Canis lupus familiaris: one gene and its partner. The protein of the gene in region 1 interacts with the protein of each later gene in a pairwise test. Links are inferred from orthologs where the notes say so. Each region holds a gene or a part of one and is shown on either strand. Other genes may lie near its edges.

Region 1 (4,408 bases):
CTACAGGTCTTAGATATTTTTATCCCCAACAACTTCTTGTCCCCATTTTACACCTGCAGAAATTAGGTCTCAAGCAGCAAACCAAGTCTCAGTCATTCAGTGTTGGAACTGAGATTCAAACCCAGATCTGTGATTCTGGTGCTCTTTGAAGCCTCTCCACAGGCACGCGTGCTCACACACACACACACACACACACACGCATATGCATACACCACAGCACTCCAGCACATTCTTCTCCCCAATTTGTTTGGGGCAGCCTTAGGAAATTCCATGGCCCAAGGGAGCAGACTAGAGCCGATGTCAGTCTGAGCTCCGCAGGGAATACCTTACTGGCATTCTCCACTAGGGGCTTGAGGCAGTTATTGTGCTTTCTTTTGTGATGTGTCACTCTCCTCTCAGAGATCCTGGGCAATCCCTCTGGAACAATACCCACAATACCCCACCCCTAACCCTCCCATGGAACAGGTGTCATGCCTGCCATTCCTGGACTCAGATTTCGAAGTCATCTCTCAGGGAGGGAGCAGGCGCTTCACTGAAAAGAAGTCACTTGCACACCTGGAGTTCTGCTACTAAAAGCCCTGGTTAGTTTGGGAGACTCAACATATACCCTTTCCTTCCCCCGTCCAGCTTGAGTTCAGAGTCCAGGATGGAAGGGAAAGGAGGCAGAGCTGGCGACGCGTGTCCCAACCAGGGCAGGGTCAGCCAACTCCTTGGAACTGGAGGCAAGGAGAGAGGAGGGAAGGCATGGTCCCTGCAGTCCCCCCTAAGCCCCGGTCCATGTAGCATGTAGCGGGCCCAGAAGCCCCACCCTGACATCCCCCTAGTACCAGTCAGCAAGGAGGGGAGATGACGCCTCTTTATTAAGGTTAACACCAAGGAAAGCATTGAGAAGGAATACACAGCGGAGGAGAAAGGGCACACAAAGTCACTACTTGAAGAGGTGGGAGGGAGGCACATCAGTTAAGAACCTCAGGACAGCCACATGCTCCATGCCCTGGTTGTGGGGAAAAGAGGAAAGGACAGGGGAAAGCGCCATGATAGCCTGGGGCTCACAGAAGGATCTGAAGCCCCCTGAACCTAACACCAGAGCCACAAGCCCTGCCCCTCAGGGCTCACACACTACTACACAAGTCGACACACATAGCACACACAAGACATCATGGAGGCAACACCGAGAGGCAGCGGGCAGGGACAGATCGACAGGAAAAGGAACTGAAGTTAAGCGGGTGTAGCCAGGAGAGAGACAGTTTTTGGCTGCGGCCCCCAAGAGTCCCTCAAACGTCCCCTAAATCTGGGCTGCTGCTGAGCACCCCAAGTCTCTGCCTGTGTACTGGGCTCTTTGTTCTCTAAGCCCCAGTGAGTGGATAAAGCAATCCCAGATGAAGTCAGTGACAAGGCAGGATCCGCTCTGCATGCAAAAATCCTAGAGGTTGAGCTATTAGGTCTTCATGCACATTCATAGCCAGCTCCTCCCAGCCCGGGGGCCCGAGGAACCCCATTCACCCAGATTCCTAGGGCTGCAGTTCCCTCCTCAAGCTTCCTTTACCAATCAGCAGCCGCAGAGATCTGTGAGGGGGAGAGGCTTCTGCAGAGCGCTGAATATCTTGGATTTCAGCAGAAGGGTAAATTTTCTGTTGCCAGAACAGAATACCCCCAACTCCTTAGTTTCTAGGTAAATCGTTAGAGATTATTTGCCATAGTCCTAGATAAGTCCTTTTTCAGAATAGAAAAAGCAGAATTTTATTTACACAATTCAGGGGTTCTCCTGTTGGCTGGGGAGGGGGAATGGGCAGGGTAGGGGATGGATGGGAGTCCGGAGATGGGCGCTTCCTCTCCCGGAACCTCACCTTTCGGCCGTTCGCTAGGTCTCCCCTGGTTAGGCAGAAAGAATCCTTGAGCTCCCAGGGTCCTTCACCCTACGCATCCTTCCTCGAGGCAGTCTCTCTGCCCGACCCACGAGAGCAGCGGTCGGAGGGAAGCATGCTGCACCGCGCCGTCCAGTCCCCTCGCGTCATGCACTCGGAAACCCAAAGCCAGCCCGGGAAAGTGGCGCCCCTCGGAGTCCCCTCACAGAGAGGCCTCGCCCTCCAGCTGCAGCAGGGTAATGTCGGGCGGGTCGAGGGGCTCCACAAGTGGCCCGTCCCCCCCAAGGAGACCGGCACAGGGGCTCTCGGGGCGCTCACAGTGACTAGTGGGTGTGGCGGAGCCGGGCGTCTCCTTCTCGTCTTCTTCATCGTCGTCCTGGTCCTCGGGATCGCGACCCAGCAAACCGCTGTCCCCGATCGCAGGCGAAGGGGTCTCCGGCTCTCGCGGGGCGCCCGGGAAGCTCCCCTTGCCGCCGACCACGCCCAGGCCGCCCTGGCGGGGCGCCGTGGTCATGATCTGGCACATGGAGACGATGGCCCGCTGGTTGGCGCACACGTCGTCCGAGAGCACCTGGATGTGCGAGGCCTGCTCGTCCAGGGCCCCCCGCATGGCCCTCACGTCCTCGAACAGGGCCTGCAGCTGGGCCTTCAGGTGCTCCATCAGTTCCTTCATGCCGCCGTTGTACTCCGCGGAGATCACGTCCCCCACGGCCGGCACGGTGGACACCTCCAGAGGTGCCGGCATGTCGCCGCCGTCCTTGGTCATGATCTCCAGCGGACCGTCCTCCATTGAATGGCAGAAGCGGGCGGCGGCGTCTGGGTCCGGTCCAGCCCGGCCCCCGGGGTCGGGGTCGGGGTCGGGGGTGGGGGAGGGAGGGAGGGAGGGACGGGGCAGGGGGAGAGGCCCCCGGGGGGGTGGCGGGGAGGGGCCGAGGGAAGAGGAGGCTCCCGAGGGGGGCGGGGAGCCGACGGGAGAGGCGAGTCCCGAGCCGAGCGAGGGCGCCGGCACGGTCGGAGGAGGCCGGGAGGAGCCGGCGGCACGCGGACCCTCCGCCTCGCCCCGCGGCCCGAGCGCCCGCCCCCGCCTGGCCTCCCGGACTGCGCCCGGGTCAGCGCCGCCCTCCGGGCGCCACGAGCGGCGAGTGCCCGCGGGCTCTCGGGGTCCCCGAGGCGCTCGCGGAGGCCGGCGGCGGGGACCGCTCGGGACTACCCGGGCCGGGAACCGGCGGCGCCCGCGAGCGTGCCTGGAGTGGCAGGGGCGGGCCTCCCAGCCGCGCCGCGGATGCGCCCCTGTTTCCAAGGCGACGCACGGCACGTAAATGACGTGCGTCTCCATGGCAACCGGGAAGTGGCGACGAGCGGGGAGCGCGGCGGCGGAGCTGCAGTGGGGCGGGGGTGCTGCGGGGGCCTCCCGGGGGGGAGCGCGGCCGGCGGCCTGCGGCAGGGACCTCCGTCCGGGTCACGAGACGTCGTCCTGCCTCGGCGCCCGCTGCCTTGGGAGCCCCCCCGCCCCCAGGCCTCCCTTCGGTCAGAGGATGGCGCCAGCGCCGGGCCTCGCCGCTCTGCCCCCGGCCGCGCGCACGAAGCGAAGGACCCGGAGGCGCCCGGGAGCCGGCCCCGCCCGGCCTCGGGGTGCAGAGCGCGGGGCGGGCGCCCCGGAGGCCTCGCCTCTGGCTCCGGCCTCTGCAGCGCCCCCCCCCCGCCGCAGGCCGCGCGGAAGCGGAGGAAGCGCGCGACTCCCTCCCAGCTGAGCCAGCCGGGGCGGCCCGGGGCGCGGGGAGGATTCCGGCCCGCGGAGGCCCGCGCTTAAGGCCCGAGGACGGAAGCTCCCCAAGGTGCGGGCATCCTCGGCTCCCCGCCCTCAACCCCGGAGTCCCCGGCACCTAAGATAGTGCCTGGCGCGTAGTAAGTAAAACGCTCTCTGTGTTGGTTGAATGAACCCTCGGCCAGAACCGCGGGGCGCCCCTGTTCCCTCCTCCAGAGCTCTGCAGCCCACACAGCCGATTTCAGGGGACCTGAATCCGATTTTGTTCCTGCCTTGGAATTCAGAGACCTTGGGTATCGCTTCTCTCGGCCTTTTGGCCGTAAGACCAAGTGCGGAGACCTTGGATGAATAACTTTCCTCATCTGTTAGGGGATTGGATTGAATAATCTACAATATTATCTCTAACCCTGACACCGCATCAGCTCACGGGTGAAAGGGATGGATGGGGACAGTGTGTGTGAGGGCAGTCCCCCTCCCCCCACCCCCAGGGCCCAGTGTCCTTGCACAGACATCCTCAAGTGCCTCACAAAAGTGACGACTTTCCCTCTTTGAGGAGCGGAGTGGGAAAGGGGAGGAGGAAGAAACTCTGAATTTAATACGTTCACAGATCTGACTTGAGGTTGAGAAGCAGAAGCACCTGGGCAGCAGCACACTCACTAGTAATGACCCTAGCAAATTGGGAGAAGCCAGGCGGTCAGGAGCTAAAAATGAATTTCGTACGAGGAAATAAATCTAAAGAGGAGAAACAAACTGGACCACTTCAAGATGGGGAAGAGCT
Region 2 (4,471 bases), on another chromosome or scaffold:
AGGAGGCACCTGCTCTCAGGTGCAACCTGAAGCCTTGTCTCCTTTACCCAGCCCTGCCCCAGCTGCCAGGGGTGTTCATGACTGATAGCTCTCAGCTGAGTCCCACTCTGCAAATCGCCCTTGGGTGAGTAGAGCTTCTTTACCCAAAGTCATGCTGCTATTCTGGGCATTAGGGGCTGGTCGATGAAGGGTATAAAGGCCTGAAGCTTTGTTTCTATTTGGAACTGTACCACCTGAAGGATCTTCGCAGCTTCAGATCTACCTGTGGATTTGGTGTATGCCTTTTTTTTGTTGCTACCACTTTGCAGCTCAACTTCTCCCTCTGTTCTATTCAGCTTTCTTTACTCAAGAATACTGCCCACAGTTCTTCTGGCATGCAATGTGCTTCCTAGGGAAACTTGCGCTGTAACACCTCCCAGTATTGTCCCTATCTAAGTAACTCCCCAGAGAACCTCCTTTTCCAACTCTGTTCTCCTTACAGTTACTCCATCATATCTTCCTGTTTATTTCCTTGTTTAAGTTCTTGTTTGTTGTCTACACCTATTCATGGCTGCTTCCATCTCCACTTACAAGGTGTTTCTAGGCATCTCTCTTCTGCCTCATTCCCACCAAGCCCTAATCTTTATTATACTAAATGTAGCTAAGATGAAAACTGGTAGAATTTCGGTGCAGCTTCATTTCTTCACAAGGAAAATGTATATAGTCGGGGCTCATGAATCTTTAAACATCAGAGTGAAGAAGCTCTTGTGAGGGGTATTTGGCTGGCTCAGTCCATAGAGCATGTGACTTTTTGATCTTGGGGTCGTGAGTTCAAGCCCCATGTTGAGCATGGTTTACTTCAAAAAGAAGAAGAAGCTCTTGTGAAATGAGTCTGAATGTGGGTGGGGACATATTTGGAGCAAAATGTCACATCATGTAGGATGCCTATTGGGTCTTGCAAGCTCCTTTCCTGTGCTGGTCAGACACCAAAGAGCTCGTGTTCAAAATAAAATGGCGAAAAAAATAAAAAAATAAAAAAATAAAATGGCGTTCTAGGGAACAATGACCATGGCTTTCCTACAGGCCTGGAACATACTCAGAAAGGCCAAAGTTTCGGGGGCTATATTTGTTTCAGTGTAATGAATGGCATGAATAGACTCAGCAATGTCTTTATAGCAGTCACTTTGATTCATTACAAAGAGTGACAATTTTTAAAAATATTTGCTATTTGCTCAGTTATAGGTTCATAAAAGAAAATCACATTACTTATTTTGTAAAACAGTACAGCTGCAGAAGCCAGGGTAGCGTGGCCACAGAGCGGAACCTCACTTGCCGGTGTAAACCACCTCAATCCAAAGCAGGAACCTTCAGAAGGAAAGCCAAAGAGAGACAAGATCATTCCCATACAAGTGGTCACAAACTTTTCATTTTCTTATTCTTTTCTAAATATTTCACTATAATAATAGCTGAAATACACTGTGAAGGAGGAGTGAAGTCTAGGCCAGCATCCTAGGGCTCCCCAGTGACAGATCTGGAGCAGAAACATTCAAATTATCTAACATCCTAGGGCTCCCCCAGATGAACAAAACCAAATTAGAATCTCCCCACCTTCTCTCCTGTCTGTATGCAAATAGTATATGGGCATCTCTCTTAAATATCATTCCCCCACTGGAAAAGTAGCTTCTGCTACTGTTCAAGAATGGCTTAAAGAAAAAAAAAAAAGCATATTTACTTTGTGTAAAGTTGTCAGTTGGGTTCAGTTTTCGAATAAAAGCAGTTTCAGAGAGGTTCATTTCTCTTGCAATTTTTTGATGTACGTCTTCATCCAATTTCTAAATTAGAAACAAAAGTTTATTGAGATTCCAGAAAAACAAATCAGACTTCCTTGGACAGCAACTGCCATTAGTTAATAACACAGCTTATTAGTATTAACAGTTACAAGCTTAAAGGGAAATAATTGCCAAGGAAGTCAAGACACTTTTACAAAGATTGTTTCTCAGAAATCTATGCTTGTAGCACTCTGTGAGGAGCTATAGATGCACAAAGCTAGAACAGACTCTGGAAAACCTACTGGCCAGCCCTTTCTTGAGGTTATTATCTGGTCTACCTGAGAGCATGTGCTCTCTTCTAAACAATCTCCACAAGGGGAAACTCCACAATCTCCCTTTCTTGTTGAATAAAAAGATCTTCAGCATCCACTCTGGGTAGGCTGGCCCATTCTGCTCCCACTATACGTGGTTCGATCCCTTTCATGAGTCAAGCCTCAGGTTAGAGGTCACCTCCTCCAGGAAGCCTTCCAGACTGCTTTAAAGGCTTTGTTTTCTCCCAGTGCTTAGACCATCTGAATTTGCCCAGTGTATCCCTTCACTGTCTGTTGTCCAACATCTGACTTTATGAGGGCATACAATGTGCTATCTTGATTTTTATCTGGCTTATATGTTGGATTCATCCCAGAATGGTAGCAGCTCAATAAACATTTGCTGGACTCACATCTTCATTTTTACTTTTTTTGTGTGTATAAGCTCTATGTTCAATATGGAGCTTGAACTCATGACCCCAAGATCAAGAGTAACATGCTCTACCAACTGAGCCAGCCAGGCGCCCCACTTTATCTTCATTTTTAAAACACTCAGTATAGATATTTTTAACTACTTGCACATAAAGAAATCAAATACAGAGAGGTTGTGTAATATTCTAAGGTCACAATATGCTGAATAAATGGTAAAGTGGCTAAGAATGTGGGCTTTGTAAATGGTAACAATCAGTGAATCAAGAGGAAAGGTATATGGATGTTCATTGTACCATTCTCAAAAGTTTTCTGTAAGTTTTTAATTTTTCAAAATAAATGGTTTAAAAAGTGATGTGAATTTGTATCCTGGGTCAAGTCCTAGTAGCTGTGCAAGGGTGGACAAGTCATTTAATTTCATGGAGCCTCAGTTTCCACACCTATAAAATGAAGACAACAGTACTTAGACAAAAGAGTTACTGTAAAATCAGAAAAATACATATATACACATACACACACATTTTCTCAACTCAAGAAAAAAAGGGTCAGAAATATGAGTTTTCCTTTAGAGAACGAAAATAAATTTTTTAATCAACAAATGCTTGCTACTAGTTAGATTTTGAATTCTAAAGAATTCTCAAGACAAATGCATTTTTGCTTTGGCCAAATTTACTATTCTTAAGACCCCAAAACCCAGAAATAAGATGTATAACTTTATACTAATAAATTCATAATTCACTTATCTGACTTATATAGGTTAAGCATCCATTATCTTTTAGTTGATTCAAATTATTTTGAAACACTTTCCACATCCTCATATAAGGCACAAAATAAGTGGTTATTGTGAGAAATCAGTCATGATTTTTAAACTATCAGCTGATATAAAAATTCTAGTGGATTTACAAAGCTTTTCTTAAAGGAGCACTGTATTCAAAATCTATAGACACTCGGTAGTCCTAGAGAAAGAGAAATGACTTAAATTGGTCTTCATTATCTGATAACCCAAACATAACACAATGGTTTTGTGTTTTACTTAACATTTTTCTTTCCAAAGATTAAATCCAATAATGATATAAAGTGTTCTTCACAATGCCTAACACACAGTAAGTACTTGGTAAAGGTTAGCTTTTATTTTGAAACCCATGCTTTAACCAGCCACACTACTCTACCTACCCATAACAAAGACAAACTTTTATTATCCCTTTAAAACACTGCAGACAGGAAAACCAATGTCTATCAGATTTGACGGATTCCTTCAGCATTTCTAAGAGAAAGCAGCCATCAGCCAATTACCAAATGCTGTGCTAGGCCAGCAGCACCAGCACCACTACCAAGGGAATTTGTTAGAAATACAGAGTCTCAGGCCCCACTCCAGACCTTCTGAATCAGACTCTCCTTTTTTTTTTTAAACTATATTTCTAGGTTATCTGGGTGCACATTAAAGTTTGAGAAGCCCTGGTGGATAAGATACAACCCCATGTTCAAGGGACCTAGCACCTGGCAGGGAATCGAAAAGCAACAGTGAGAAACAGCAGAGGGTATGTAATTGAGACACATAGATTTTTACAATAAATAATCTAGGACTTTAAAGATGAAGCTGTGAGGTGGGCTTAGAAATGGGGCATATTTTGGTGAGTTGGACAGGAAAATGTGGGCAAAGAGCTTCATATTGGGGATGCTTCTTGGGCAAATCACTTGACCTCACTTCTGTTCTCTTTCTGTTAAATCTTTGACACTCTAGGATTCTGTGAACTGAGGTAAGGAAAATTAGGATGGTAGGAATGAAGTGGCATGAATACCTGTCACCCCTGGGCTTGGGGAGTGAGTAGTCCACCTGAGTAGAGGGTATAGGGTATGCTGGACAGACCAGCCAACAAAGCAACTATGTTAAGAAGCATGTCTCTTGGCTCATTGAATGTTCTGTGTGGAAACAGGCCCATGTGCCTGGGCATATAACACCTGAGAGAAACTAGAAGCCAATTAATT

The links. The genes of interacting proteins can lie anywhere in the genome.
Region 2: the proteins of CCDC184 (region 1) and PBLD interact in binary tests that used the Homo sapiens proteins (3 or more experiments, as listed by UniProt). The two-hybrid records come from large-scale screens. The link is inferred for Canis lupus familiaris from reciprocal best matches to the Homo sapiens genes CCDC184 and PBLD.

The regions. Positions count from the first base shown.
Region 1 is NC_049248.1:40,009,113-40,013,520, reverse strand, and holds CCDC184 (coiled-coil domain-containing protein 184), read right to left. Parts: upstream 2,745-4,408; 5' UTR 2,656-2,744; coding exon 2,068-2,655; 3' UTR 1,945-2,067; coding exon of another isoform or gene 1,943-1,944; 3' UTR 1,873-1,942; coding exon of another isoform or gene 1,862-1,872; 3' UTR 838-1,861; downstream 1-837.
Region 2 is NC_049225.1:20,241,178-20,245,648, forward strand, and holds part of PBLD (phenazine biosynthesis-like domain-containing protein), read right to left. Parts: intron 1,812-4,471; coding exon 1,712-1,811; intron 1,345-1,711; coding exon 1,246-1,344; intron 1-1,245.